Struthio camelus: one gene and its partners. The protein of the gene in region 1 interacts with the protein of each later gene in a pairwise test. Links are inferred from orthologs where the notes say so. Each region holds a gene or a part of one and is shown on either strand. Other genes may lie near its edges.

Region 1 (11,095 bases):
TAAGAAGTCCTCCCTACAAATAGCTAAACGAAATAGGTTTATTAAAATGAATAAAACATTTAGGTTTTTCAGAAAATAGTTAAATTAAAATCAAAATATAATTGACTCTCTTCTTATTCCAAGAGTATAAAAAAAGCACCTCAGTTTTGTCCGTCAGTTCACGACGTGTTTGATCCAACTGATTTTGAACTTCACTTTGAGATTCCAATAAATGCAAGCCATACTGTGCTGCCTTTCTCCGTTCATTCTCTGCTTCCTTGAGTTGTTGTCGAAGACTTAAAATGGTCTCCGTCTCCATTTCTCTTGCTTTTATTGCCTCCAGACTGCACACACAAGTTGGTTAACAAAAACGTACTGCAATAAATTACAGCAGTTAATCTGAAAGAAAATTTGGATTTTATTTGTTAATCAGGACACAACAGTATATTTTTGTATCAGTATGAGATGAAAAATAAATAGCTTACAAACAACTAGTCTTATGAATAGAGAAACACTAGCTATTTCTCTCTAAACTTAGTTAATGTCTTACTCCTCATTGTATCTTAAGTGACAGTACGCAGCGAAACAGCTCAGCAGGATGTTCCTGGAAGAAATACAACTCTTGGATGATTGCTCAAGGAATAGCTGCTAGGTACAAATGCAGCTACATCCTACAATGCCAAAGTCAAACTGCTTACAGAAAATCATAAGCCATCATAAGCTCATAACAAACTTCGGAAAAATGCATTTTGAACATTTCATGCCATTACTCCCACCCCAGCTACAAATAACAAGCTAATCTCTATTCCAACCCATTTTGTATCATCAGTGATATGACAATTCAAACTTTCTGCCTGATCTCCTTTAAGGACAGCCCAGTGGAGAAGGAGGGGAGGGAGGGGGGGAAAAAAAAAAAAAAGGATACACATACACACACTGGACTAGGCACTAGGCAGAAGGCTTGTTTTTAATCAACTTCAAATGCAATTGAAGGGACAAAACGTAGTCCTAGGCTGAGAAGTTAAGCCCATGGGAAACCAAAACCTTCACTACTTTCCATTGAACAGTACTAGTGATGACTTTTAGAGGTAATTGAAGAAGCTCCTAGTTAAAGCTATTTAGAATAATAAGATGATGAGATATCTTACATACAGCAAAAACAAAGGTGATGCACATACAAAATACTCTGCAGAATAAGTCCGTATCAAAACCAAAGTAGCTCTAAGCTAGAACAATTCAAGTGGGGCCCCTTAGCTTCACAACGATTTATTTGTTCAAACTCCCAGTCTTTTTTCGAGAGGCTGCTGTGTTACACAATTCAAAAGCATCAAAAACAAAACAGAAAACTACAAGGAACATGACAGAAATACAATTCTGGTATACCTTGCCCAGTTTCACCGCATACAGAACTTGTTCATTAGAAACACAGAGTTTATCTAATATCTAGCCATCTTACCATATATAATGAAAGAGAAGGCAATAAGCTAGGAAACAACCTCCTAAAAACACCATTAGGCAAGTGATAAGGCATATGGTTTTTAGTGTTATCATAAGTAGCACAGAGCATAGAGTTATCCCAAACTCTCAAACATAGTTGGATAGACTACAAATTGGTCAGTTCTCAATTAATCTTCCACCATAATACACAAAACAAGAATAGAATAAACCTGGACTAACTAGAGCTTTAATTGTGTACATAAGTAACACTTAATAAGATTCATATAGGCAGCTGTATTAGCAGAATACTTTACTCCTAATAACATTATGTGGGACATACAAACATATAGAGGAGGTGGAAGAAATGAATTAAGAATAGATTTAATATTAAAATTACTTTTTTTTTTAATAAAAAAATGGGCCATCTCCTTTATCTCTGCCCCTCCCCCCACTTTTTTAAAGCACGCATAATACTTGTGTCTTTCATCACTGTTTTCAACTTCAAAGTTAGATCACTTCAGCTAACATATCTGTTTGCCATACCTTCTCTTTGCCATGTGTTTCAGAAAACTCATCCACTTCTATCTCTGTATCATAACATAAGACATGAATAAAGGTTGCTTTTGCAGGAGGAGATCAAAATAAACCCAAAAAAGCAAAATAGGGAAAAAAACCCAAATAATAACCACATAAACCTAAAAGGAGTAAGATTAACAACATGGTTTTGCATGACGGCCAACTCCCAAACCTAACACCTAGTAAACCTGCACACTGAAGATAAATCCTATTAAGACAGAAATTGCCAAGTGACTCAGGCTCTGCACAACATAAGCTAAGAATTTTCTCTCAGAAATTATACAGTAACAACAATATACGATTACAAAAAAATTTTTGCAGTTGATTTTTCAAAGCCAAGGTTCATAATTTTTTTAATCACTTAGTCCTCACAATCAAGTTCATTCTTCACTGAAGATCTTACTCACTGTTTTTTGTTTTTACCTACGCAATTTAATCACTACCATTTCTTACCGGCACATATATTATCCTTGCAAATGTTAAAAAGATGCTTGTCTTAATCTGCACCAAATTTCACAGTATTAATGAGTCATCACCATACTGAAATGTATGTGTTAAAGTATTAACTTTAACATTTTGTTTGCTAACTTTTAATGCAATAAAGGTATTTCTACTGGAGTTTCACAACTTCCTGTTTAAACAAAAATTTATCATTTTGTCATACAAGAGGACATCATGCCAAAAATCATGCTACTTCCTTTCACAGTGAAAAGACAGAAATTGTCGTATTCTATTTTTCAAATTTTCAAGCCTTTGTTGTTGTTGTTTAACTTATGCAGACTTTATCTGGCCAGGCTCTGAAACTTCAATTATTCATATTCATCTACTGCTGTTTGAAACACTAGCTTCGCACATTTACCAAAAAAATTTTTTTTGAAAGTCAGTAATTTGGCATACCTATAACATCTAAGTAGTGTCAACAATATATACTAGCACAAGGACACCTACACTAAACACTGTATAGAATTTAATAGTGCAATGCTTGAGGGATAAGATTTGTAATGTTACAACCATAAGAAAGCAAGAGCTTGTGGTGTGAATTTGTGTAGACAAAGGAGATTAATTAATCCGTATTCATTTCAGAAAGAGAATTTTAAAAACTGTTTATTTTCTGATAAAACAGTAACACATTAAGATTTCAGATACAGTAATTTGATTGCTCCTAGCTTACAAAATTAACTCTGAATGATATTTTTAACTCACCTTCGGAAGTCCTTTTAATTCTTTCTTGAGTTTATTCTTCTATTTTTCTAAAAAAAGCAACAGTTGTCTAGCTTGGATGAGTATAAACTGCAGTTACAGCAAATTTCTTCATAACAGTCCTTTTCTGAAACAGCTTGATGCCCGTGGCTGTCCCATGAAAATGCAGATCACTAGTTAAAACCCCATAGAAATGCAAATCTTATTCAAATCTCATTTGAGGTAGCTGTCAGACAGTTGAGAAACAGCCAGATTAGGCAACACTGGCAAGGGATAGATGCTCTGCGGTTTACTTGTAGAGCAGGGAAACTGGCTACACCCAGGGTCATCTACTTCCAGCACATATTTCATTTTTAAAGGTAGTTTGGGAATTTCACCTTTCTCTCTCCTTCTCCTTCAATCTCTTTTGCATTCTCCCTCCACCTTTGCATACAAGATCTTTGTATCTTAATAAATCATTTACTGGTTACTATCTAAAAGATTTTAGGTTTTGGTTTTAATTTTATAGCCAAAGTATGGAGGAAAAAGATAAATAGATTTCCTACTATAAGAAAGTATACATACTATGCAAGGAGGCACCTACTTCACATGTCTTGCCAAGTATTTGGAAAAAAAATAAATATGGCTTTTCAGACACTGTAGGAGCACAGAAGATCCTCAACTCTGTTATCATCTGTTTCGGATAAGTGTAATCAGAGAGCTCCAATAAGCTGTGTTCACCAGCCCATAAGATTACACAGGGAAGTCACTGCTTGCAATTTCCTACCACGCAAGAAGTAAATTATTCAAGAATTCTGTTTTAAGATAAATTAACTAGCTAATAATCCCAAGATTCAAAACAGAATTAATCAGTTTTCATACTCTGCTGCTTAAACAGAGTTCTAGCTTTTCTGTCTCCGGGAAAAAGTCATGTTTCAGTATCCATAGCAAAGACCAAAACTACTTTTTCTAAGTTTGCATTCCATGCTCCCTCTAGTCAATTCACAACTGCCAGCACAGGGAACTGTTTCCAACCCTGGGGTACTGGGGGGGATGACAAAAACCAGTCTCCTTATATCTATTAAGAATTACACATTACTCACTTCTGGCTAGATATCCCCAAACATTTTATGACAGATCCTGTACTGAAGGCTCTAGACTTTGATTACTCAACCGTTTAAGTACTCCTTGATAAAAATAACAGGGGAGAGGATGAAAAGGCACTCTCCTGGCATGCAAGCCTTCCTCTCCCCTCCCAGACTCTTCTAGTTACACTACTAATCCCAGGGACCGTGTGTAACACCTGTCCTTGTCCTGAAGACAACTGCATCACCAATCGCTTCAGAAGTACTTACGCAGTTTTTCCGACCGCTACCATGAATAGCGACATAATTTCTCTCCCCAGGGCAGGTACTCCCCTTGTAATTCATTTCAGTTACTTAAACAAGTCCACTTCTTCACCTGCCGAACTGAGATACTCAACAACTGAGATAACTTGGGGGGCTTCTCAGCTTCCCCAGAACATAGTCTTGGGTGGGCGAGCATTCAAAAGAAATCGGACCCCAATCTGAGCTTTCAGTCTCTACCAAGTACCTCGCCAGCCGACAACCGGCTCTGCCAGGGCTTCGCCTAGCCAGCAAACAAGCGGGGCGAGCCCGCCGAGGGGAGGGACCTGACGAAAACCGCGAGGCCCCCGGCCCAGCCCCCCAAGACACGGGCCTGACAGGACGGACGGAAGGACGCAGGGCAAGAGGGGCTCCGCGGCCCCACCACGCAGAGGGCCCGGCCCGGCCCACGCAGCGCTGCCGCTCCCGAGCCAGGAAAGCGGCCGCCGGAGCCCGCTTCCCCGGACAAGGGGCAGTAAGGAAAGAGCAAAAAGCTCCGCGTGAAGGAAAACCGGCTCGCGCCGCGCCTCCCCTGCCCCGACGACCGCCGCCGCCGCGCAGCGCTACCTCAGCCCAACGGCCGCGCGGCCGCCAACACCCCGCGCCGGCCCCGCCGCCGCCGTTCAAAACCGCCCCGGCGGCGCCGCCCAAGCCTCGCGAGACCGGCCGCCATCCTCCTGCCCCTCCCCCCCACCACCCCGGGACGCCGCCGAGCGCGCGTGCGCGGCGCCGCCTGCGCGCCGCCCGGAACCGCGCGTGCTGCGGGGCGGGGGGAGGGGTAGCGGCCGCGGGCTGAGGCGGTGCGGCGCGGCTGAGGCGGTGCGGCGCGGCTGAGGCGGTGCGGCGCGGAAGCGCCTTCTCTGGCGGCGGTCGTGCCGTGCCCCCGCCCGGCTCGTTACAGCACACAGCCGCTCCGTTGAGCTTGCTTACAGGCCCAGCGTGGCCACCCGTGGAGGAAACCTTCTGGCCTAGGTGCTAGGGCGACGCCAGGGCAGCAGGGTGTTTGTGCGGGCGCCGTGGGGCGCGCTCTGAAAAGGAGGGGAAGTCCCCAAAGTCAGAAGCGCTGCTGCGGTTCCCCGGCTGTACGCAGCAGGTGTGTGGCAGCCTGGAGGTGTGATGGAGCCCCAAGCTCTGGAGCTGCAGGTGGTCCCACCTCGCTCAAGGAAGGAGTGCAGAGTAAGTGGTCAGATTAGAAGTCAACCAAGTGCTTGGTGCCATCTAGGAGACCTGCCAAGTTCAAGGGTAAACTGCGTCTCCCATGAAGTGTTTTACAGAGGAATTACTGGTCTGACACTAGAATGCCCTAAGTGCCACCTCTGTCCCGCAGACCGTTTTCCTCATTAAGGAAATACCGTCCTTCAGTGGGGACTGCCGAGGATGCCTAGCCTTGGGGAAGCAGCGCAACCATCACGTTCAACCAAGCCTTTCTTTAGAGGAAACACAGCCGTGCCCATAGCTAGCCCTTCAAATTTCTGAGAGTTATGCACCAAATTGTAGCATTTGTAGCATAGCTGTCAACTACACTTCTAACCTGTTCTTTCTCCCTAGGTTGCTCTAGTTTCCACTCATCTTCATTTTCTACACCTGATTGTAGATGGTCTGCCCTACTTGCTTTGTATGCTTTTCCTGGGGCATTCATGTTCAGGTTATTGCTGAACATCTTCCAGTGACTACGATCTTGCACTTCTACATGTGATTGCTGATGGCATTCAAATTTGAGTTAAAGGAGTTGCCAGTACTGTCACGTACACCCTGCTACTAGAAATTGGATGAAAGTAACATTTAAATAGTTAACTTTCTGTGTCTCCCAAAAAGTCAGACAGGTAGAAATATTTTAAAGCAAACTCTGACTTTAAAGAAACATGCCTCCAGTGTTGCAAGGTTGAATTCAAGCAACAGGATATAAGGGAATGCAGAGGTAACAATCCTATTTGGAGCAACCAGGACAAAAATAGATAAGTCTTAAGATAAAAGGTGCTTGGAAAATAAGGACATGGTATCAAGTTCTACAGAGAATGCCAGCAAAATAGCTGGAACCACATATTAGTATATATAATTCTACTATTTTATCAAAATGTGTGGGTCTAGCTTTTCTCAATAGAAATAGGTTTAAAAAATAAATATAGAATGGTCTAGACAGGCAAGAATGACAAGTTGATTGAAACAGGGGCAGGAAACAAGAGAATCCGTTTCTAATCCTGATTCAGCTGCATTCACTATGTGACTAGCCACTCCAAATACCCCCAGCTCACCCCTCCCTTGCTTTAAAACAAGGATAACAGTGACTTAATTAACAAATCCATATAATTCTCCTTACAGTTAGTGTGGGTACAGCTTGGAAAATATAAAGCACCTTGTAAAAGCTAAGTATTAACATGATTACTGTACCAGATCAGTTATCCACTGTGGCATACTAAATCACAGAACTGTTAAAACAGCAGCTGCCTTTTTCCCTCTTCATTTATTTTAGGAAAAAAATAATCCACCGTCATGGATAGCAGCTGATGTTTAAGACCAGAAATACATAAGAAAACTTCATTATACATTCCTTTCCTTAGAATTGTCATTTATGCCTTTAGAACAGACTTAGGTGCTTAGTTACAAATCAACTGATTCATTATTTAGAGGCTGCTGTTATTGTCAGAGCTTGTTCCCTTTTCCTTACTGAATTGGCAGTAGCTAGGATAGTGTTTTACAGTTCACTTCTACTAAATTGTGAATAGATAAACACATGCATCAGTTGCTACTAAGTTATTTGTAATTTAGATTTGCCAAGTGGAGTGACCATCTTGTCAGAATTCTACAAAATAATTCACTGATGTGACAAACTAAACATTTAATACTTAAATAAAACCAATATTTACAGTTTGCCTATACAGCAGAGTTCTTTTTTTCAGTTTATAGGAAGCTAGATTTTACTTTAGGTCCTTTTAGAAGAACATACAATGACATGGTCATTAAGTCTGTCAGTGGTAGTATATTTTGGCTTTATGGAGTCAAATGCTTTTGTCCCATTCTCAGCTAGGAAAAAACTCTCAGTTCTGCTGTTTCATGTCAGGTTAGATTTTGTTTCATCACTGTGGCTTGCCTGTGTAACTACATATTGGCTCATAGAAACTTTTCTCCAGCATATGACCTCAGTAGTGCTTATGTTTTCCTATGGAGGTTCTAGAAGCCCGTTTCTTACTCTAATTCATAAATGTTTCCTAAGCATGTAGTTTGTATGCTTTTATTTATTGACATTTTAGGTAGCTAAATGTAATTAAATCTATGCACTTCTCACTTCTGACCTTGTATAAAATGTAAGTGCATATCTTTTAAGCCTTATCTATGCTAGCAGACAAACGTTTCTTTCGTTTCAAAAACGTTTCAAAAGTAATGGAGTGATTACAGAAAGTAGATGGGTTTATTCTGAAGAGGAGGCTTGTTTGCCTTTATGTACATAAAGGCAAATTATATTTTAAAAAGTCTGTCTTAGACTTTACCTGGTAATTGCTCAGTGAATTTTGACAGTGTACTGACAAGTATTTTGCTGACTATAGTGCTGTAGGAAGCGAGCAAATGACTAGCAGCAGCCTATTGCGAAGCAGCTGATTACTAGCTGCTTAAGTCATTTTGGCACAACAAATCCAGGGTTTGATATAATGAAAACTTGCTATGGCATTAGGTTTGCCCTGCAGTATTTAAGAGCACTTAGTTTTGCACAGTTTGAAGCCATGTTTCTCTATTTGTTACCGCAACCTCGTAGAAGCCCAGACTTAATCCCGTCAACATTTTTAAATTGGCATATCATTAAACTGTTCTATTTTTTGAGATGAGGCACTTTCTCCTTCAAATAAATAGAATTCATAAGTCTATATGTTTTAGTTTATTACTGTGAATCCCAAGAGCACTAATCCCTGCCTTGTAAAGAACTCAAGTAGCTCAATGATTACAGCAACAGATGGAGAGCAAGTAGCACACTGTTTTTAATCCTCACTAAACTGTTAGCGACTGACCTCATCCAAATCACATGATCCCACTATTTCAGTCATCCTTGCTTAACAAAGAGGTGTTTTGAGTTTTTCTTATTAATCTAATGCTACTTATCCCCTTTGTAAACCAGTATGAATTTCTTTTGCCAGCTAGGGATTTGAAAGCCAGCATAGTTTTGCTGTTTGTCATATGACTTACTCCCTCCACTTTAACTGCTGACAAGCAGCATGTTTGCCAAGCATCCTTCATAGTCCATCCTTACCTTACTCCCTAAATCATAAACCTGGGATCCATAACCTTTGCCAGCTCCTTAACCACAGTAGCAAAATAAGAAGCGAAGGAAATTAAATTAAGCTGTGTCATAGAAACTGACTATAGCAAGGAAATGATACCTTTAATAAGAGCACATGATAGTACTATTTGTCATACAGTTTATAGAAATGTATGCAGTTTCCACTGCTTATTAGCTCTACATAATGCTATGTCACTAATATAGAAGCACAAATTAAGCAGTGGCATGCTCATCTGCACGCTCCAACTTCAAAAATTTCTTGTGTATGCAGTATTAAATGCTTAGTTCTGGTATCTGATTTTAACACAGCATTTTCTGTTGCTCCTGCAGCTGCTTAATAATCTACAAAAGCCAGCATTCGTAGCTAAAATCTCTGATTATTGAACAGTAACAAATATATAGAGAAGTCAAAAGTTTTATGACTTAAAGAAATTGCGATTTGAATTTCCGAGGTTAAAGCTTAAAAAGTAGGTTCTTGTCTTCTACTATTCACTAACTGAAATGGACCAGAAAATTTGGCATGGAGTTTTAGTAATGCAATCAGCAGTTATTTTACTCTAGTAGGATAAGCACCCAAATTCCACTTAGGCTGTAATCGCCGTGCGATACAACAGGTCTTTTAATGAACTGTGAATGCTAAATAGTTTGCCAGCACTTCTGTGCAACATTTTGTTCTAGAGCCATTTTATTAATATTTCCATGGAGATTATTTATTCCATGTGTTTACATACAGTGACAATGCAGTATTAACAGTAGGTAATTACAGTATTGCTGCAGAGCAATAATATTCAAGGAATAAATCTCTCCCTTGGTATGTACTTACTACCAGCTTTCCAGTTCAACAAGTCCATTTCCTTCAATTGAGGAGTAAGACTAGTGTCTTCATGTTTAACATGACTTGTCTGCAGAAAGTGTATGCACAGCAGTGATGCAGGATTAACACCGTGCTGGGTTACAGCTGTGCTGGGTTACTCAATTGCTGGAACACTGTCACAGGGCATATACAGAGTTTTACAGGCCTGACAATACAGCAGCACATGAAATAGGCCTCTGATCCATTTACCAAGAATGGCATTTCCCCAGAAGAGTCTGCTTCCTCAAGTGTGGTCGCCTACAGATCTTTAAATGGGACTTGGTACAGTTTGAGAGCAACCCATGAGATAGGAAAACACGATGGTTCAGTATGGAGTAATATTAGACTCTTAAATTTAGAACATCATCGTTCCCATCTTTTAATCTTAATCGTGGTTATCATTCACTTCTTGCTGCTTTCAAAATTCCCAAATTGGGCTATATTTACTCACGTTATACACTTTTCACAGAAAACTGAAGTGGCCACTGTGACAGAAGAAGGAACATAGGGGTTAGTCACATGTGCTGAGTTAACCCTGTCAATACAAATGGGGCCTAGAGACCCAGTCCAAGTATAACTGTGATATATGATAACAGGTTTAAATGTTCAAGTGGATATAATCCTACAGATCAAAATAAAGAATATGAACAAGCTCCATAATGGTGAAAAAAAGGGAAAACAAAATCATGAAGAGTGTTGAAGTGAACGCTAAGTTTTTAGAAATACCTACTTTTTTTTAAGGATATAAACATGAGTTGCAAAAAGTACTTTTGAAAAAAATACACTTGAAGAACAGTAGGATTAGAACCTGTAGTAGGATTATCTGGGAGATTAAGTAATAAAAGGCAAAGGGAGATCAGATTTCCAATCTGCTTCCTGTGTAAGATGCTGAACCAGTTTTAACAAAATGGGGGAAAAAAAGGTATTCAGTTTCTTTTTGTGCATTCTGGTAGTAGTTACCAATGGTTTGAGTCTTTCTGGAGTACTGGGTCTGTTATTCTTTTGTTCCTTTAGTAGTTTCCCCTTTCCTTCTAATTCTGTTTAAAATAAAATTTGCAAATATATGCCTCATTCTGCGCACTTACATTTTCTATTTCTAGTTTTGTTGTACTACTTTCCTACTAGGTGCAGTCTGTTCTGCTTAAATTCTGTTAGCTTTTTGTACACATCAATCAAGAAGGACATGGTTTGCTAGCCACCTTCTAACTGGTTCCCACTTGGGGCTTGAAAAGCATTGGGAAGGAAGGAGGTAATAGTTCAGCTGGGTCATTTGACTATTTCATTGAAGGACCTGAGTAGCTGAAGCAAAGCAGAAGGCCAGAAATAATGTTCTGCCATATAAAAGTAGGCACCTGGGTTTAGCAGTGGACTGATCTGCTGTTTCCATCTACCAGTTATATGGTTTACATGCTGTTTCAT
Region 2 (10,959 bases), on another chromosome or scaffold:
TGCCGTGAGTCATGGAAACTGATAGAAACTTTTGGTTGCCAATATTTTGCTAGGTAAAGATGTTCAGCCATATACCACCTGTCAGGTTTCTGAGATACAGAATGCCTTCATATGCAGATACAACTGATCCTGCCATGCAGTAGCAACAACATACCTTACTTACAATCAGCTCTAGGCTGCCATGCTGTTTTTAAACACTGAAAATGTCTTAGCAGCATCTGTCCACAATTGCAAGACAAAGAAACCAACCTATATAGTAACTCAACTCCTTTGCATTAATATAGCCTTTCACCATAAAAATAAGCAGTGAAAACAAGCAATCGTACCTATATGAGTCCCAATATACTTATGAATTAATTAACAGAAGCATTCTGTCCAGGAATTTGTTAATCTGCTTCAGACCAAATAATACCAAATACAGTTGGCAAGCTGTAGGTAACTTCTTGCTGAAATCACTGAGTACTGGGTTTCTACCCAAAGCTAGATTTTTAAGGGCATTCTCGTCTTCCTTGGAATCCATTAAATTCTAGTTTCCATATCATAGACTTTGAATGGACCTCTTACAATACCTAATAACGGATAAGAATTATTTAATTGCACAATGTATAGCTTTAAGCAATGACAGTTCCATAATATAAAATGTCATTTAATGTCATTTAATACACATACTCTATATATGTATATGTATATATATAGTTAGTTGGGAGCACAAGTCATAGAGTAATACTACTAAGTACAATTCAGCAATTGAATCATATTGCAACTGTACAAACACAAAAATGAGAATAGAGAGCTATAAAAAAACTGGAAGAAAACTGTCAATTGGTCTTTTCACCATCAATTACTCTGCAGAAAAGAAGTGAAATACCCAGACTAATCCTCCCTTAACGACATGCCATAACCAACAACCAACAGGGTTTCTAAAATGAATCATCCTAAAGGTAGTTACAGATTCAAATTTGCACGTTAAACCTTTTTTATCTTTGCTCGCTCTACCTATACCTATATCCTATAATGAAAACTCGTAAATCTGATGAACATGAGGGAAACCATTCAGCTAAAGTATTTTTGGGAAACGTGGAAGAATGTAGGGAAATAGGATGTTTTATTAATGCTGTTTTTTTAGGAAAACAGACTGTTTTCTCCAATTTAAATTATTGTTCCTAGTGCATATGCCTGCCTGTATGTAACTAGAACAAATGTTCTCTGTGTGATGTAGTTCGGGACCTGCACGAGCTTCCAAGAGTTTCTTTCTGAGGCTCATATTACAACACAGATCCCAGGATAAAAGTATTTCAATGTAGGAAGAACGTTTATCTTTGTTCTGCTGTTCATCAAATTTTGATCTTTGTCAGTGGATGAAGTGTTTAACGTTTCTTTGCCTTTCAGTAATTTTCGAACCTTATTAGAAAATGATTCTGAAACCATTTTGTGCAATCCACCGCTGGCTTAAGAGAAGTCTCTGTATCCTCTGAAAGGTTTTTCAATATACAGTTCCAGTACACACTTGGTCACACTTCTTCCAGCTAATGCCTAACATATGTATGATGCTCAAACGGGAAGCAGCCTGTAAAAAGGTTTACAATTAAATAACAAGCAGGATTTGGGAATTCCAGATGGACTGTGTATTCTGAAAATCAATCATCACTAACGACAAACTGATTTTTAGTATGTATCTTAATCATTTTATTTTTTTCTACCAGGAGGTTTTTCTTTGGCTGTTAAAATTACAGTAGAAGGCAATCTCTTACACATTAATTGGATAGAGTTTCAAAAGCACTTAGTGCTCGGCAGTTCCCATTAAAATAACCTGGCTTAAACGGACCTGTCATCAGAGATCCCCTGTGAGGAAGAGAAGCTGCATGAGTTTCCGCAGTCACTGAAAATTAGCCAGGATACTAGGTCAAACATAGCTTTTCTCTTCTAGGAAGGGATAACAAATGTTGTCCCAACCTCCCAAAAAAGGAAAAATTATCCCCAGTCAACAAATGGAGAATAGGAAATTATGTAATACGAAATCCAAGGACAGCTGAAACTACACTGAGATTTCCTAAATCCTAGTGCCATACCTCAATCATAAACTTGTATTCTATTTCACATTGTTTCTTATATGTCAACACTCACCAGTCTGGCATCACTGTATTCAAGTTTAAAAAGAAGTACTTTCCTTCCTCTAAACCTCCAAAGCTTTTGCACACGCATATAGGTGTGTTGGTTTATTCCTATTTTTATACTATTGCTATTAAGGTGCAAACCTCCCTTGGAAAAGGTAGGGTGGAATGATTAGCACTTTGGCATGCAAGCAATTATGTTTGCAGTCAGTCTTACTTCCTCTGCAAGAGAATTCAAGAACCTTTCAGATCTTGCAGAGAAAACCTTGTTCCCTGGGAACAGAGCTCTGCTTCCGAGAAAGGTAGTAAAACCGACTGGAAGTACGAAATTACTATTCCATTGGAAATCTGCAAAATTCTGTGGAAAGAATGTTCTGTTTTGCAATACAATACAGAGTCTAGCATGAAAGGGAAGTATAAGGGAAAACAATTATTAAAGTAACTGAAACCTTTCTGTTTCAAAAAATTCTGTGTAAAACTGAACCGACTTCCTTGCTCCCAAGACTCCTGGGATCTCAGAAGGAAACAAAAGTTGGAATGGCTTTGGCAATGCTTAGCTGTTTAATTGCCCCATAAAGGCTGTTACTAGCTAACATAGGTTAGAATGACTTAAAAACCCTTCCAAACACAGGGGAAGAAGTACCACAGTGTTTGGAAAACACAAAGGATCTCCTTACTTTCCTGACAGTTATCTCCTTCATATAAAATAGGTTATCTAGATTAAAGGTCTGAGTCAAGAGATCCTGCAATTTCATTTGAGTTGGAACTGTTTCTTTTATTGGCTTTCAGTTCGTCTTTGATGAATGCTATTGAAAAACTCTTTAAGAAGCGAGGACCAATTTGCAACCTGTTCTTTATCAACACTGTAAGTGTCCATAACTGGAGTATCTGTCCTAAACAAACTGTTGAAGTCTACAGTTAGCAATCACAGCCCACTCAACTGCATGGAGAACTTCCATGCTCTTTGGAGCAAGGACAAAACTTGCCAGCTCTACAAAGTAATGCGGCGTCCCGCGATCCGAGTGACAAGCTGGACCGTTTCCGAATGTGGACAACTGTTAATGCCAGCGAACTAGATGACACCACCACAAAAGAAAACGCTGCAGCTCCTCCAAAGCAACCTGACGGGCCGTCAGCGCGGAGGTGAGACCTCCAGCCCCTGTGGCAAAGCTTAGCCCTCTTCCGACGGCCGACAGCAGCAGCAGCCCTCCTGCAGGCCACAGCAACGCCGGACGGGCCCAACAGCCGGCTGCTGGCAGCAGCTAGCGGTGCTGCGCTCGGTTACGCGCCTACAGCGGGCCTTTAAGACGACGATACGAGCTTCGGCCTTCGTTCTGACTTTACTGGCAACGCCTAAGCGGTGTTTCGCCCTACCTGACTTCGACTTCAGGACGATCTGGATGGAGTGCCCGTCGTTGATCACCTCGCAGTCGCGACACACCACGTAGTTGGGCGACAGCCGCACCTCCAGCAGCGAGGGGTCGTACCTGGCTTCCCTCGAGTTCAGGTTAATAGGCGACTGGTACTCCCCGTTGGCCTCCGGGAATATCAACCCCCACTCGACCCCTAGAGCCAAACCAAGAGCCGTGAGGCGCAGACCGGCGCCCCCGCGCAGCGCAGCCGCGCAGCCGGCCGGGCCCCGCGCCCCGGGCCGCCGCAGGGCAGGGCAGGGCCGGGCCGGCTCCGCGCTGCTCTGCCGGCGGCCGCGGTCCGCCGCCCGCTGCCGGCCGGCCTCCGGCCGCTCCTCTCGGCGGTTTCGGCGCGGCCGCGCAAGCGGTTTCCCCCCCCCGCCTCGCGTGTGCGGTCCCGCTGCCCGCCACCCCCTCACCTTCCTCGTAGCCCCACTCCGGGGCGTCCTCCCGGCGCCGGCAGGGCTCGGCGCCCTCGACGAGGCTGCCGTCAGCCATGGGCGGGCGGGCGCGGGGCGGCCGCCGCCGTCGGGCCGGCGTGTGCGACCGAGTGCCTGTGCGAGGGGGCGAGGCTGCCGGGCGCCGCCGGGCAGCCCGGCCCGGCGCTGCCTCCGCCTCTGCCTCCGCCTCCGCCCCCGCGGCGGCGGCGCGGGGGGCGCGGGCGGGGCGGCGGCATCGGGGGCGCGCAACAGCCGCGGGCGGCGGCCGCCGCTGCGCCGCCCCCCCCCCCCCCCGCTGCCCCTCTTTGCAGCCCTGGCAGCCGGGAGGCAGCTCGGCCCCTTGCTGTTCCCCCCCCCCCCCCAGGAGGGTGGGAGCCCCCCGATGCCCGCCGGTCGGGACCCCTTGGCTCAGGCGGCTGCCGGGTGTGTTGCTCCGGCCCCTCCGTTTCGAGGAGGTCGGGGGGCTCTGCCGGCCCCTCGGCCGGCAGCAGGGCAGGGAGCTGGAGGAGGTTTGCTCCGTTCACGGGGAGGAAGGGCAGTAAGCGGCCTCCGCGATAGGACTCTTCCCCCGGGCAGTGACCCGAGGGGAATGGGGGCCCTGTGGTCCCCAAGAGCAACCCGGAAAGGCAGCCGGAGCTGCGACCGTGGTGAGTGGGAGCGCCCTTTCCTCGTCGCCCTTGGCCGCTTCGAGGTACGGGCGAAACCACGCTGCCTTCCAGCGTGCTGAGGGGATAAAATAATGTCCTGATCCTGGGCTGTTCCTCCGCAAGCTTTGAGCTGGCTATGGGCCTTGTCGCGCTGCCGTGTTCCCCAGCGCGGCAGCCGTGGTCCCTGCGCAGGGCCGGAAAGAGGGTGCGAACGAACATCCGTGTCCAACTGAGATGGACAGAGAGGAAGGATTAAGCTGGACATTCATTATGGAAGCAAGAGAGCACTGATTCATGAGCCATGCGCAAGGTGGGAAGAAAATAGGACAAAAGTAGTAGAAATTATTGGGGGATTTCTTTTCCTTTTTAAGATTAGAACAGAAACACAGGTTTCTTTCTGCAGGATCATTAGTTACTGTCTTCAGCACTGATGGTCAAAAGGAGTATATGCTACCCAAACGAACGATAACTGTGGTACAGTTCATTGCAGCAAAGGAGCAACTTAGCTGGTGAGCAAGGATCACACTCCAAACTGACCTTCTTCCTCATAGTTAATCCTTTACATCAGTACAACTGGAACACTCAGATTTTCTGACATGTATTTTTGGCACATAAGAATATCATGTTGTACATACGTAACTGTCTCCCATACCAAACTGATTTTGTCAGTTAGTCAGTTTTATCCCAAAACCATTTCTTAAATGCACTCTAGTTATTTCTATTAGTCTCAGTCCCTTTGAATCATTGCTCAGCCACATGGGAAAAAAGAAACGTTCCCCCTAAATCACGTTTGATTCTGGTCGATCTGGCGGTAAATTCATTTTCCCCTCCCAAGCATAATCCCATGTTTTGGAAAAAAAACAGTCTTAAGAAGCTGGGTTCATTCCATTGCTCCCTGAAGCACAGTACTTCATTCATGCCCTCTGCTAAGTCCTTTCCTGCGGTAGCTTTCCTGTGGGATGTCTGTGCCACATTTTCACACTTACAAACGGCAACATAATCAGACCCGTGATTTCCTGTTTTATAATACATACTTAACACTACTTTTCATGGCTTCCATTCACAACTGTAATTAAGAAATAAGCTACTTATATTCTACTTATGTTTGTTGCCCTTCCTTTTAACCTTTCCATTCTTTCTGCACCTTTCTGCAAAATCAGGCACAGCAGGTAAAGCTTTAATGAATAGTTGGCATTTCTTTGTTCCCTTATGTCTGCTCATTTGTTTTCTGTGAAAATATCCTATCTTTTCCATAGTTGCTCTCAGGCATAGCTTGAGCTAATCAGCAAATTAAATTCTGCTGAAGATTCTTAAAATGTATTTGATGCTAAAGTGTGTATGGAGCTGAGAAGTGAAGGGCATCTCTCTGCCATGAAACTGAGCAAGGGACAGAGATCTCTCAGTTAGCTCCACCCACAAACGCAGATGTTGACCTAAACAGTCTCTGCTCAAACCAACTCCTTTATTCATGCTCCCACCTTTATAGTGTTGAATCTCAGAATCAGGTGGAGATACTGGTATGATCTAAGCCTTGCTCAAAATCCGTGGGATTTGGTCTCATTTAAGGATGTAGACACTCTTAAAGCGTTGCACTCTTTGTTAGTCCGTTTCTGTACTGACATAAGCTGAAAGTGCCCTGTGCGGTGCCTTTGGTGTAAAACGCAGTCATCTGGAAAAGAGCATTATTCTAGTGTTGAGTTCTGTTAACAGTTGTCTCAAGTCATCCACTTCCTCCTTTGGAGTTCTTCCCTCTTTAAGTACTTAGTTTCTTTTCTTAAGCTGACCTTACAGCGATCTTAGAAACTCTATTATTGGCAGACATCTAAAACTTAAAATTTGCTTTTGTGCAGAAGCTACAAGTGGTTGATTTACTCTAAAAGCATATTAAATATATAACAAGAACGCAATAGAGATGAATACGCTCTTTATTCTGTGAAAATCCTTTGCTTGTGGTGTTCTTGCCCAGAGTAATGTTTGCTACATTGGCTCAGCATATCAAGAGAGGTAAATCCATAGGAGGGCGCAGATGCGGCCCTAGAGCTAATATCAAATTGATGGACAAATGGTAGGAGAAGCACAGCCAAGGCGGCCTTCATAAATCACACGGCACATCACCAGCAGAGTCGGGAGCAGCAGGCAAGTCTGTCCTGAATCCAAGTCCAGCCTTTGATTCTGTGGAACATGCTGGCTTCTTGCTTAACTGAGATTAACGATCTGACCATTCGTTGATACCGGGAAAAAAAGCTTGATGCGCAGATCCAGGGTTTAACAGTTCCTCTTAGAGCTCAAAGGACAGATCGGTTCAGAGGGGCCTGAGTCTCCTCGTTTCCTGTAATCCAAAACTCACTTTTGCAAAGCGAGAAACTGCATTTTTAAACATTTTCGGTATAATACTTAGCCCTGATAAGACTGCAAAGAACTATTCTTGTATTTACTTTATCTAGATGTAGGTATTATGTGTTATACGGCTACTGATTGTTTTTTTCCTACCGTTACCGCCATGTTATTTTAGGAACAGCACAAAAAGACAATATACCTTCCCTGAGCACCTTAAATTGTAGACACTGGGAGAAACAAGTCTGAAACAAACTTCTCCATCCAAACACTTTGTAAGATTTGTATCCGTAAATTGTCATGAATGACTAGTTTTCTTTTTTTAAAAAAAATAAGATGTTAAATTTCAACAACTGTACTTACAGCTTTCACCACTTCCGAGGGGAGAGTCTGATGCAGAGAACTGTACGGATTACTAAGAAATCTGTATAGAAAATCAGAACAGAATTCCGTGTAGGTTTGTCTAATCTAGAGAGTTGTAGGATTCTCTGCAGGCTGCATAGCTGGCAGTTATTTCTCTGATTCAAGGAACTGAAAATTTAAATTGTGAGAAGACCTATGTCCTATGTAATTCACTTTTTTTCTTTATTACCTTGCTCCCAGTGAAGAGTACTTGGGGACATGCAAGATTTAGTTTTACAGTAAGAAGAGAAATGTTCCAGAGAATATTAGAGTATTCCATTTGAGAACCATTTAGGAATTCAGAGGGCGTTTATGCTTCTGTAATCTTACCAAGGTATACTTGAAGGAAAAAGTTGTGTCCACACAGAAACAGAAGGCACGAAAGGGATCAGGAGCATCTTTTTCAGTGAATGGGCTTTCCTATTTTGCTTCCTGTATTTCGCTATGAGGTTGGCCAGCAATCATCTGTCCCATGATCTTGTTTCTGTATTTTTTTCGTGCTGGATTGCTCTTTCAGTCAAGTTTGATTCTTTTACAAATTTAGAAGTGTAAGACGAAATTTTCTGTATTTATCTATTAAAGTATAGGCTTATATATAATAAAACTGAAAATCTCTCTGCATGTTTTAAAAGGAGCTAGTTCATTACAAGGAAAGGCTCCAAAGAGCAGTGTGTTTCTGGAATAATATCATTTGCCAATCATTTTTTTCTTCAGCTGAAGCAATGTACAAAAAGGAAAAGGATGGTCAAGTGGTATAAATACTGCAAGATGACAGGGTAAAGAGAAAACATTTTCAATAAAGAGACCATTTATAATAAGGAGAAAACATTTACAGTGAAAGACTCCATCTGTTTGCAAATCAGGTTTACGTTGGCACATCCTGTCCTGCAAACATTGCAAGATATGTCAGCTGGATTCCCATTTCCCTATAAATCCGCACCAAAGCGTGGTTTCAGTGCCCTCATATGTTTTATGGTCTGTAAATTTAGATTTGTGCTTCTTGCGTTTACCGGCTAATAGGACAGAAGTCTGGATCTGCACATGGATCTTCACATGTTTAACCTTACAGCAAATACAGTTTCTTCAAAATTAAAATCTACACATAGACCTAAAAGTACACAAGTGTTTCTACAATAAAGGTATTAAACTTTTGTGTGTAAAATTGCGTCTGTAAGAGTGCACAAGAGATGAAAGAAAAATGCATTAATATTTCCAAATTAACGGCCGTAATTGGTATATATTCTCCCAGTATTCGGATTTGTAAAACATTATGACTGCCCGTGAGAATTCACACATACATCCAGAAGACAGTAAATCTAAGACGGGATAATTTTCAGTCCTTTAAAAAAACCCAGAATCGGAAACTACTTCTCAAGACTAAAAAGGAAACATAGACAAAAGGCAAGTGAGAAGTGATAAATAATACAATGTAATTAAGGAGAATACTAAAAAAATTAGAGAATAATCTAGTGTTGTCTGCTGGAGCTTATCTTTTCCCAGCAGGTCTCAATTTGTAGAAAAAATCTGTAAAGAATTGTAAGAAGTGGAGAAGACAATAGGAATTGCTGATGAAGTGAAATAACTACAAATGTAAAGTGGAAATCTGCAGACAATAGATGAGTAGAAAGGAAGTGAGTTCTTTCCCCTAGCAGGCTAAGAGGAAAAGATAGATAAAGGATGAAACAGGATCTCTGTGAAACACAGAGTGAGAAATAATAAAGGGTCCTGATATGGCAAAGCTCCTATATAAATACTTCTTTATTCCTTTAGGAAGGAAGCAGAAATAAAGGGACACCCAGACCCAAATTCAAGGAAGAAATTGGGGCGTGCAGAGGGAAAATCTACATTAAGGAGATGATGAAAATTTATTTACCTAACTGTAATCATTTCATGTCTTTAATATCAGATAAGATGTTAAAGACTCGCCATGATTACAGTTAGGTAAACACATTTTTGTTTATTTTTAACAAAGAAGGACTGAATAAGAGATCAGGGAAAGACAAGGTACTGTTCAAAGCAAAAGGAGGGACTGAGCTAAAGAGTGCGCCTGAGTGGCTTTTCCCTTGAGGAGCCAGAGCAGGTATTGGCTTAAAGGTGTTGGCTTTTCATCTTTGAAGCACATGAAAAAGAGGAAGCGCTGAACAGTAAATGGCAGGGGAATAACAGCGCATTTGGTTCTGTAAAGGGATGGCAAAAGGAGAGTCAGTTCTTCATTTGTTCTACTGACTTTTGCTTATCAATATGTAAACATCTATAAATGACAAAGTGCTCACGTGTCCAGTCCCAGTAACGCTCATAAATCATACGTTTAGGGTGTAATCTGGCCTCCTATATATCACAAGCTATTATGTTTCACACAGTTACTTGTATATTAAGTCAATTATTTGGCTATAAATAAATAATAACCCGTGTTTCACTAAAGTCCGTTTTCCCAAAATGTGTGCAACCTTGATCTGAAGACAGCAAGAAACGAAGAGTTCAATACTTTCCTTCGACAGTTTGTTCCAGTGGTTAATCGCCTTCACTGTTAACTAATGGGGATCCAGTTCTGGTTTGAATTTCTCTGGCTTCAACTTCGAGCCATTGGTTCATGTTATGCCAGTTTGCCTTGATTAAAGAATCTTTATTACTTCATATTCTCTCTCTAATATACTCGTCCACTTTAGTCCAATCACCTCTTTGTAGTCTAAACAAAAGGAGCTCATTAACACTCATAGAAGGTTAAGACCAGGACATGTATAATTTTTTTAGCTTTTTTTCTGCATGTTTTCTGTTTTTTCCACATGAAAAATACAGACACCGGAATTCTGCAGTGTAGCTCTTGTTTTCCTTCCATGTCCTCATTCATTTCTTTTTTACGTGCATGTTAACCACTCATCTTTTTTTTTTTTTTGCCATGGAGTCAGACATTGGAGCTCTTGTTCTGCTGCTATTTAGTGCAAACATTAAATCCTTTTTCTGGAGTCAGGGTATCCAGGAGGCAGCTTTCAGAATGTAACACAGCCTGCATTATTATTTTACATTTAGTTGACCTAAAATGCCATTCATGTGAGTGAGTGCTAGTCGTATATGAAGTGTTCATTTTAAATCAAAATCTCATAGAGTACTAAATCATATGCCTTATAAAAAGCTATAATCTAATTGCATTTCAGTTTGTCTGACAAGATATACGTTCTATAAAACCATTGTTACTAGTATTAATTATATTCCTCTCTATCTGTAATCTCGTAGCAATTTTTCTAATATTTTCCCTGGAATTGTTCTCACGCTAACCAGACAGTAATTGCCTGGATTATCTCACTTATCTTTTTTTTCTTTAACATTTGCATAATGTTAAATTCTTTAAGTCTTGTAACATTTCCCTGGATCTGTGGAAAAAAATTGACATAAAAAGAGTGGTTCAGCCGACTCATAGGTTGCAAGTTACATGGATTACATCCAGATTTAAAAAGTCTAAGTTTTAGGATATTGCGTAATATCACCTAGCTGTTAATGAACTGCAGAATTCTTTACCTGCATGTGATGTAAGCAGACCAGACTCCTTTCTCCCAAAACATGGAACAGAAATATTTTTTTATTGTTTTCAATTTTTCTTTATCATCAACAATTCCACAGT
Region 3 (10,781 bases), on another chromosome or scaffold:
AACTTGGCAAAAAAAAAAAAAAAAGATACTGCTTGAAAGCAACGAAGAATACTAAAAGTAGGACACAGGACTGGTTTTTAAAGCTGTGTGTGTCTGATTATGATTATCTAATCTAACCTTTTTGTGTAACACAGCTATATACACATAGCAATATTTGTATCAAATTCCTGAAGTTTGTTTTAAACAGATGTTTAATCTCTCAATAACAAAAAATATAAGTGAAAGGAAATCTGCCTAGGTGTAATCTTCAACTAATTAACTAATTAACTGTCTCAGTATTAAAACGTGCATTGTGTGCTTATAATGAATTTGTCCATCATGAGTTTCACCAACTGGATCTCATGACTTTATCAACCTAAAACCCCCCATACTATCAATAACATCTACCCTAGGTAGACATTCACCATCTGTGTCTAGGATAATTAGAAAATCTCATAACTAAACAACAGCCACACACTATGTAACAAATAAATTTGATTTTAAATGCATCTTCAAATGGAGTGTAACTCACTTTCCTTTGTCCTTTAACCAATCTGGATTCTTTTCCTCTTCCTTTAAATCTTCCAGCTCAGATAAATCAGCATTTATTGTTCTTCGAGCTTCTGCTTGTTTATGTAGCCACTGTAAGTATACAAAATGAATGTATTACTTCTGCACAAAAATTCAAATCCAAAAAAGTATTCTCCTTTCATCTATTCATTCACTCCTACTAAAATAATTCTCTTTACCACATATTTTTGGGCAGAGGTATGAAAAGCTCCAGATTTCACCAAATATTTTATTGCTATGTGTAAAGCAACATTACTGCACTGCCAATACATTTTTGTTTGCTTGCTTGTTTTAGAACTTCCAAAAGTGACTGTTCGTGTTCATCTAGTAGAGTTCAGAAGAATTAGTTGTGAAGTATTTTTTAAAAAGGCAGAACTTAAAGAATCTTAAAGACAAGAGTAAAAAAACTTCAAAACTTGTACCTAATGGAATTCAACTAATATTGCAATTAAAAAAAATAAAAACATAAGAATATGCTACTTATTATTCTGACAATCAAATGCTTGGTAAAAAATAGTTTAGATGTAAAAGCATTTATTTAGATAGTAATTTAATTAAGACTACCTTCCTTGGAAGATGGAAATATTGCAAAACTTCCACCTTGGATGATAGTGAAAGCACCACACTAAAACAGAGAGCGATCATTACCTCTTCCTCTTCTGCTACCCGAGATTCACGTAGAGCTGTAGGAAAAACCCGCGATGTAAAGTTGATTTTAATTGTACCAGCAGATCGAGGCGCTGGTAACTGTTCTTCCTTTAAATTATCTGAAAACATACTATCGGAACCAGGACCTGCAAATAGAATTAGAGTACCAGAAATGAAAAATAAAGTGAAAGATTTTTTTTCCATTTTTCTATCAAATCCCAAAGCGTACCTAATTTAGCATTCTGCACACTGGAAATAAACCTCAAGCTATTACTTGAGAATAAGTTTGGACTTCTTTTGAAGGAAATTCTCTGAAAAGGTTTGTTCTTACTGTATTATGGAACCTATTTACTGGCTATGTTATCTGCCGCAAGTGAACTAAAACGCCTGTGACGTCAACATCTCTGGCACTTGTATGATTCCTTGGTGGGCCAAATTCAATGGCTAAAACTAACCTTACCAAAACAAAAACACAAACAAAAAAAATTAAGAATTTTCTGTTAGTTTAGCTTCCTGAACCAACTCTCTGTGTACCAAGATAAGGACTAAAGAGAGCAAAAGGAGATTTCTCTATATGGCAACAAGTAGATAGCTTAGCAGTAACATGAACACCACCTTCAGAGAGACCTTTAGAAAGGCTTTCTGCTTTACTCTCCTAAAGCTTAGAGCAAAATGTGCCTTTGTGTTTCCAATGACTTAAAAAGGAGCTAAGCACTCGCATGCTTTAGCTCAATAAAGAGACAGAAAATAAAGATACGAAAATAACCGCAAACTAAAAGAATTTGTTCAGTATGGTATATAGAGACAAAGATAAATGATGAACTAGAAACATCCAGGAATAAAATTATATCATGCTTTGAAGAATGACAAAATAGACTCCAACAATACAACCTTTAGTAGGTTTGACTCTGGTCTTAGAACTTCTGTCATTAGGAATCCTAGGTTTGTTTATTTTGTCCTTTTTCCTTTCCCGTAATTGTTCTACTGCTTGATGCAGTTCCTCTTCTCCTTGTATCCTCTTTTGTCTCTCAATATCTTTTTGCTGATTTTTCCATAACTCCAATTCCCTAGTGACCTTTTGCCGCTCCTGTTCTTTCAGATCTTCAACTCTTTTTCTTTCTGCTGCTTCTAGCTGTTTGTAGGATAAAACTGAGATATGTAACATCTGATAACTGAATAAAATATACCATTAACTGAATAAAATATACCATTATTTCCCAGTTTCATATGCCAAGCCCAACACTATCATTAATGCAATGATATAAGCAGAGTTATGAAAGATGCTGCAAAATGAATGGGAAAGTAAAGATTTTCAGTTAGCTATGTTTTAACTCTTTTACCACCACTACTAGAGAGATGATCTAGAAACATTCAGAAATAAAGTTCTACTTGTATTCTAAAGAATGATAAAATAAACTCCATCAATAAAACCTTTAGTAAGTTTTTCCTGTCACTTTAGAAGTTCCTTCATTTCAGTTCAACACACAAAGTATGCTGTTCACATAGCTCCTTTATTCTGCGGGAAATACATTTTTTACTTCCTTGCCTAGGTTTCCTACTTTATCAAACTTGATACTAAAGATGAACTTTTTTTTTTTTTGCAATACAGATGAATATCAAACATCTGCCAAATTAGTTGGCAACTGCTTACATTTACATGTCTAGTAGAGGTCCTTGTAAGCTTACCTTCATTGTGGCCTCCAAAGCGTATTTTTTGTGTTCCTGTTTTGTAACTTTTTTTGCTTCTGCCTCCTCTTTTGCCTTTTCATGGGCTTTTAGAATGGCATTCTCTCTTAGATATTGCAGTTTCTCCTTGTTAGCTGGGAACAACAGCAGCAAACAAACTAGTAATTTAGGCCTGAAGTTCTACTGTCATGTACCATGTTCATAAAGAAGTCTAAGTTACTTCATCTGATAAAGGGCAACAAAACATGGTTCAAACTCCACAAAGCAGTCTCTATCAAGCCCACCTCTGAAAGAAAAAAAACCAGGATTTACTTAAACCCAAAACACACCCACCAGAACCAGAAGATGTTTTGCATTCAGTTGTTTTCCTCTACTTTATAATTTTAACAATGAACAACAGAGTTTAACTTTGCAGAGATTCAGCAGCAGAAATTTCAGAGTTTGTTATGGCTTTCAAGGTTACAGCAGAGAACTTCCCCCCCACCATGGGTTTTTCTAGCCATTTAGAAATCTTTTCAGCACTTCAGCAGAAGAGCACAACAATGACCCCACAAAGTTAGATTTTGAGGGTGAATGTGTGAATGTGAAACTGGTAAGACTACAAATATCACCTGAAAATTTTCTGGAAATGATGGCTGGCAACTCAGAATAAATGGAGTATGACGCAAGATCCCCAACTAACATCGTGCTTTTCAGTGACAGACTAGAGTTCATGAACTTTCTCAGATTTACTAATACAACACATGCAAAGCCAGCTGTGTAGGTAAAGGCGGTACTTCTTTATACAAAATAGCACAATTAGAAAAGCAGCGAATTTCCAAACTTTTCAGAAAAAGAATTTTGACATCGTTTTGGTTCTTCATACATAATTTACTTTTCCACAATAGAGAACTTACCATTTTCGATCATTAGTGAATCCCACATAGCCATTTCTTTTTTGTACAAAGTGAAGAAAATGATTCCATTTCCAATCTTTGCTGTGCTATTTGTGTCATCAATAGGAGCATATAAAACAGCTTCAAATAAAAAGGGTGGGATGCTTACCTATAAAAATAACAAATGTGTACTACTATTTAAAGTTATTACATCTCGAGTAGACATTCAAAACATCCAGTACAAGCATGCAGTAAACCTCAAGAAACAAACGCTACTATCAAAAACGTTATTTGGTTAGTATGAGGTATGGAAGTTACGTATTTTATTACGCCAAGTAAGAGATGGAAGTTGCTCCTCAGAACTGAAATAGGAGCAATGGACTTCACATTTTGAGTTCTCAGTCATAGTTTAATCAGATGTGGATAACTCAGACCAGTGATGAGAGAAAAAGCAGCTGGTAGCTGCTAAGTAGAGTATTTGTGAGGAGAAGACTGGTGATAAAGTGACTATCTCCAGCGTGATAGGTATTTAGCAGCCCGCAGCAGACAAAGGGAGGAGACGATGCCAGAGATCATGAAACTGGCGGCGCTGACATGGCATGTCGAGCGTGTGCTCGTTCGCAGAGCTCTACCCTACCGCCGAGGCACAGCCCCACGGACGCAGCGCGGCCTCCCCGCGGAGGGAAGGGCCGCGGCCCCCCACCTTCAGGTACTGGTCGGTGCAGAAGATGTTGGCCGGGGTGGCCCGCACGCCCCGCAGCGGCAGCGAGAGGTACACGGCCGAGTCGGTCTGCCGCCAGCTGTAGTCCCGCAGCCACACCGGCATGGCGGCGGCGGTTGCCAGGGGCGCTCCGCCGGCGTTGCTAGGGGAGGAGGGAGCGCTTCCGCTGCTCTCCGCGAGCACTTCCGGGCTCCGCAGCGCCGCGCCGGTGACAGCGCCGCCGGGTGCCCCGGCCTCGCCCAATAGGGCCGCAGGAGAGCGCGGGCGCGGTGCAGGCCGGGAGTTGTGGTCCGCCGGGGCGGGCGGGGCCGCGGCGCCGGGTAGCGAGGCCCGCGGGGCCCCGCGGTTCCCCGGCCGCTGCTGCCCGAGAAGCAGCACCAGAAGAGGCGGTGGGAGGAAGCGGGGGCAGCGAAACGCGCGCAGGGGAGGGGAGGGCCGCGCGGTCACGCCCGCTGCAGCGGCGGGGGCGGCCCGGCGGACCCCGCGGCGCGGCCCGTGCCGCCCCCCCGGCCCCGAGGGAGCGCCTGAGACGGCAGCCGTGAGGCGTTCTTCGCTTCTGAAGTCCTGGAGCCGCTTTAAGACGATAAAAACCATCCATGGGGCTCAAAATAGCAGTGATGATGCGAAGGAAGTTGTAAGTTTATATAAGCAAGACTAGTTGACAAAATCCTGCTATAGATACCGGTCCATTTACTTACCGAAGACATGAAGCAAGGCGCACTGCTCTGGTTTCCATCACTCCCACCTAGAGCGGAGTAGGAAGGAACGCAACTCTTGTTATCCAAGGACATTTCCATAAGAAGACAGACTGCTATAAGTTTGAGAATTTATAGTAAAAACTGTTAAAAGCTGAGTACCGATTCAGCGATACATTGAAACTTCCAGATGATCTCTAAAAAATAACGTTATCCTTGCAACTCCATGCCACTGCCTTACATAGTTTTATCTGTTTGACTGTCTTTATCACAAACGCAGGAGGTAATTGGAACAGTGTTGCTCAACCTTCCTCAAACAAACAATAACAATACATCTGCCAAAATAAAGTCTAGGGTATAGAAGCAAGCATTTCTGGGAAATGTCGGTCGAAAGGCAAGCCAAACACTTTCGGATAAATATTCAGGTATGCTTAAGTTCCTCAAAAGTATACCATTACTTGGAACCCTTTGACAAGAATCCAGAAGAACCAAAAAGTCTCGTTTTCCCCTTATTTTTTTTTCTAATGTGGCCAAGAGAGATTAACATTGCACAAATCAGAAGTCTTAGCTGATGTATCATTTAAGATTTATATTATAACATGAAGAGTTCAGGTTTTAATAGCTATATTCCAAAGCAATGTTCAAGTGGTAGTGGTTACTAAGAGCTAACTACTGCTGTTCATTGCTGCAGTATATAGAGTTCTCACAGAGGTTCGAAACTTTCAGAGCAAGAAATGCATCCTATTTGATATGATCTCTTGATTATTCTCTACCCTCATTCACCAAGATCAGTATCATCAATTGCTTGCATGGACTGGAATTTCAGATCTGAATTAAATTCCTCATTCTGAGAGCATTCAAAGGCATAAGGGGAAAAAAAAGATTTAACTGAAAGGCAAAGTGCCTTATTTATTTATTTATTTTTTTTAACTTGCATGATACAGAACTTCTGACTAATGGCAGATCTGCACCACTGAGTAGGAGTCTTCCCTGTGTTCTTTTTATTTTAATACCTCTTGGTTGTTGTATTGAGAGGCAACGAACTCAACACAAGTTGAAGTAAGGATGAAACAATGAATTTCTAAACATCCTTTCTTTGCCATTCAGGATTTTACAGACCTCAGGCTTCCCTCTAGGAGATGGCTTTTTTCTAGAAAGAGTCTTAGCTTACTTGGTGATTTCTTTTACATACCTTTATCTTCCTTGCCAACCTCTGAGTCTTTCCAGTTCTACTAAATATTAAGATTGGAGAGGCTAAAACTGCACACAATAGTTAAAATCCTACTTTCCTTCTTCCTGGATGAAGCAATGGAAGAGGGTTTTTTTTTTTGCTTGTTTTTAAATCAGGGTGTTAAATAGCGGCATTGGCTACAATGATTATAATGTAACAGTAACTCAAAATCCCCTACCAGTCCAAATGTAGCTGTATTCATCCAGAATGTATCCTTCAGTTTTGGAGAGTTCATTCACAGACAATAAGAAGTCTTAGATCTTTTGAATGCTGTCTTCTCCTAGATCTCCGATGCAGAAGTTATTTATTTCACTCGTAGAAGACTTACAGTAAACGTCACTAACAAATTTCTAAGTTATTGTAGCAGATTTAGCCGATTTCCCACATAGAGGAATGGGACTGAGCAAGGTCTTCGATCAACTTTGCAAATCAGATATTGACACACACCTGCAGAAACATCACCTACTTCATATGCATTCCACATTGCTAGCTTACTTGGAAAAGTGACTGAGCTCTTGCTATGACACTTTGGCAAAACAAACCATATGAGAATTACCATACCAGAATAGAGGTCCATTCAGGATCTTTCTTCCGTTGGCACTAACTCAGCAGGCAAAAGTGCAAGAAACAAGGAGATCAAATACCCGTTCAAAAACTTTATTCTTAAATTGCTGTCTCCTGTGCTCTGAAGGATGGAGATTTATATCCCTGTCAAATCTTATTTTACTAATACTCCTCTGGACCTTCTGGTTGTCAGTATATATCATCCATCTCTTTTAGGGGTTAGCTCATTTCTAATGGCTTCAGAGGCTTTAATATATAGAAAAAAAATCCTTGTAGTTTACATTTTCTTATCTTTAATTTAATAAATGACCTTTTTCCATCCTTTCTAAATTCTCCCCCCTTTCTCTCATCCATCCATATTTTTAGAAAGAGCAGGAATATATTCTAAGATGCTTTTTATTCCAGTGAACATTGTTATGAGTGTGTGGCTTTAGCCCATATGAGTTGCTTTTAAAGATTATCTTTAAAGTACCGATTCACTATGTGTTAGTTGTGACATTTCAAACAGAGACAGCTTAGTATGAGTTTTGTAAATTAGAATAAATAATAATTATTTGCGTAATCTGTTTCCAAATGCAGACACTTCTGCAATCTGTGCAGCCAAACAATACCTGAACCCTTCTTATCCCCTAAGAAAGAAATGGGGCCCAGGGTGCGAGACCTCTTCTAATCTGCTTTAAAGTCAGCTCTAAATTAATGCCACTACAGAACAGCAGACGTCTCCAAGAGAGTTAGGAGCTATCTTTTCTGACCAATATGGCCTCAAACTGTTTCTTGCCCTGGATTACGCCTAATCCAAATGCATCCTCACAGGCAAAACATTAGAAAAGTTAATCTATACATTACATTATCTTCATGAAATCAACAGGCAATTTCCCCACAAGAGTTAGCTTTATTTTAAAAGAAACTGAAACCAGAAAACAGAAAGCAACAAAGTTACATACAGTGCTGGACAAAATCTGCCATATACGTTTTCCAAGAATGCTTGATTTAGATCCTGATATATCTTCTTCTAAAAGGGTCAAATATCACATTGTTATTTATAAAAAAAATTTAAGTGTCAACAATCTTAATCAGCTCATATTTTGTACTGTTTGGATGGCAGTCGATTGGTAACTTGCCTTTTTCAACTAGTCTTTAACACTGAAAGGAGAATTCAAACAAAAGATAACCAAGTAAGAAGGCCCTAAAGAATACAGTGTCTGTTCTAAAGGCCATATAAAAAAGCTTGGTGGAGAGACTGGCTATAAAGTAAAAATTCCTCAACAACTACATATTATTTCACATTTCAGAAAAAAAAAAAATCGTGAAAAGCCAAGAAATTAGAGAATGAATATAAAAAAAAGCTCACCCTCCCTAAATTATATGAAAGTTCAGATTGAGCCCATTCTTTGTTAAACATCTAGGTAACAGCAGATGAGATTAGTGTCTAGGAATAGACGCAACATCTCTTGTGACTCCAGTCACCAAACTATCTCCAATACAGCAATTTCTGAAGTACAGTGCATAACCTCTGAGGGAAAAAAATAAGGCTGAATCAGAAATTATTTTTGAGAGAGACAGTTTGTTTAAACACAAAAAGGAAAACCATCATGTATGTTAAACAATAACAAAATAGGTATTCCCTATGACCTTGGTATAAGCTGTTTCTGAACCAATAAACTAAGGGCCACACTGAATACTCTTTAAGCTAAAAGCAGCACCTCAAAGGGGCTGAACACCATTCACGATTAGTTAACTCAAAACTGATGCCACGCAGCACTAGGGCACTAAGGGACCCTTTATTTCCACGTAAAGGATGGAAGTTATAGGAGTTCCATACACAAAGAAGTGAATGTGCATAACGACGTAGCGTAGGATAGTTATATTGCCTTAAGAGCTCTGCTAAGTACACTTAATTTTCCAATTTGAAGGAAAAGTCTATTCTAATATAGAAAGCTTCAGACAAAACTTAGCAATTGCAGAGTAATTTTAAAAATACATCCAGTTCTACATCCTCCTGCATATATCTAATCACATCCAATAGCTAAAAAACTACATGTTTTTAACAACAAGATGGAGTATTAGAATAGGATTTTCACAACCATACACATACTACCAAATGTTCACCCATTTGTCAGAGGATAACATTAAAGAATTCATAAAGCGTTATGGCAACAAGATGACAATGCACATAAATGCTGCGTGTTCTGAAAGGTATTCAGTTTTAATTATCATGAATTGCTACCATCTATCATACCTCATTCTATGCAAGATACCAGGCCAGCTACCAATCCATAAACAATAATGTTTCATATACTTCATAGAGTAGCTTAAAACACATCATGATATGAAATAATTTGTATTACATAGTAATTTAATCCCTGGCCACAGGGCTAATGTTGGACAAAGTCTGGAAACTTTTTTCCAATTTGAATTACATACGTTAACTTTGCCACACACCACAGCACTAATGCATGTATTACTTCAGACATGCTCTAATTTAAAATTAAAACAAAAAGCTGTTGCAAAAATACATGTCACCAATGTGGAACACATTCAAGATTGTATAAAAAGTACTGAACTGATATCCCAAAACAGGTATATTTAAGCAGTACATAAGGAAAGATTAGTTTTAATATGAAACAGTCATTTAAGTCACATACAACATGATAAGAAGCATGACTTCCTTTTTAAAAAATGTTACACCAAAACTTTTACGGGCAGGCAATGTTTATATATAAAATGAAAAGGATATATTTTATGCAGATGTGTATTGTCTGTATTAAGTTGGAAGAAAGAAAAATGTTGAAGAGGTGCTACATTTGAACACCACTGATCTTGCAAAAATCTCAAACCACAAAAAGCATTTTACCTAAGAATATCTAAAAAAGTCATGGGCCCAGAACTGCAAACACTTTGAAAAGTTCTTGGCTTTGTGCATGCACTTCTACTGACTTCATTAAGAAGTCTCCCATGCTTGAAGTTAAGCCTGAAAGTGTGTTTACAAAATTAGTGCTTAGTCAAAAACAAAACAAAACAACCACCCAGAGGTGACAAAGTATGTTCCTGTTTGTACAACCCAAAACATAATAACAAAATTATATTTTTGTTTTAAATAGAGCAAACTTTTATCATATTACCTTTTGCGTCTTCAGTATCTTTCATCTGAAGATCTCAAATAATAATTAAGCCTCTAAACACCCTTGGGAAGTAAGCATTAGTCCAATCTTACGAAAGAACAGACTGAGGCACAAAGAGTTAACTTATTTGCCTCAAGCTGCACAAGGGATCAGTAAAACAGCCAGAAACAGGATTTTTGATACCCAGTCTCTAGCCTATAGGCAGCACTGCCACTTAATTCTGACACTAATAACAAAATAAGTATTTTAAAAGGATAAATTACATATCTTCTTATTTAAGACTGGTCTCTGGCAAAAAGCAAGTTTGCCAGTATTAAGGGCTGTTCAGTCCAGTTTATAGCTGTTTATTTCAGCCTAGGAAGAATAGGGTGGAGGTGGGAAGGAGTTTGGGCGGTATAGGCTACACTTCCAAGCATGACAAAGAGGTTTTTAAAAAGGACACAGGCATTTCCCACAAAAATCTTCAGGTTTGTAAGATTTACAAAATCTTTGCAATATTTTGGTGTGCAGCACCAGTGCACTCTAAATCACTAATAACAAAAGAATCACATGATAGTTCAATACAAGTTGTTTCATGTAGCGTATTATAAAAACTCACCTATTCTAATCAGCCCCCCCCCCCAGCAACCCTTCTATAACTAATTTCTAATTCTACCCAGCTGACATTTTCCTATTACCTTACTAATAAAA

What was found.
Region 2: the proteins of SPDL1 (region 1) and CA8 interact in binary tests that used the Homo sapiens proteins (3 or more experiments, as listed by UniProt). The two-hybrid records come from large-scale screens. The link is inferred for Struthio camelus from reciprocal best matches to the Homo sapiens genes SPDL1 and CA8.
Region 3: the proteins of SPDL1 (region 1) and DNAAF4 interact in binary tests that used the Homo sapiens proteins (3 or more experiments, as listed by UniProt). The two-hybrid records come from large-scale screens. The link is inferred for Struthio camelus from reciprocal best matches to the Homo sapiens genes SPDL1 and DNAAF4.

What each region holds. Positions count from the first base shown.
Region 1 is NC_090954.1:18,864,978-18,876,072, reverse strand, and holds the start of SPDL1 (protein Spindly), read right to left. Parts: upstream 5,252-11,095; 5' UTR 5,124-5,251; exon of another isoform or gene 4,527-5,123; intron 3,419-4,526; exon of another isoform or gene 3,343-3,418; 5' UTR 3,196-3,342; intron 2,004-3,195; 5' UTR 1,960-2,003; intron 379-1,959; 5' UTR 299-378; coding exon 140-298; intron 1-139. UniProt on the Homo sapiens protein: Required for the localization of dynein and dynactin to the mitotic kintochore.
Region 2 is NC_090943.1:135,084,788-135,095,746, reverse strand, and holds the start of CA8 (carbonic anhydrase-related protein), read right to left. Parts: upstream 4,152-10,959; 5' UTR 4,019-4,151; coding exon 3,940-4,018; intron 3,678-3,939; coding exon 3,486-3,677; intron 1-3,485. UniProt on the Homo sapiens protein: Does not have a carbonic anhydrase catalytic activity.
Region 3 is NC_090953.1:16,153,683-16,164,463, forward strand, and holds the start of DNAAF4 (dynein axonemal assembly factor 4), read right to left. Parts: upstream 4,619-10,781; 5' UTR 4,585-4,618; coding exon 4,462-4,584; intron 3,928-4,461; coding exon 3,780-3,927; intron 3,018-3,779; coding exon 2,884-3,017; intron 2,330-2,883; coding exon 2,089-2,329; intron 1,344-2,088; coding exon 1,198-1,343; intron 622-1,197; coding exon 512-621; intron 1-511.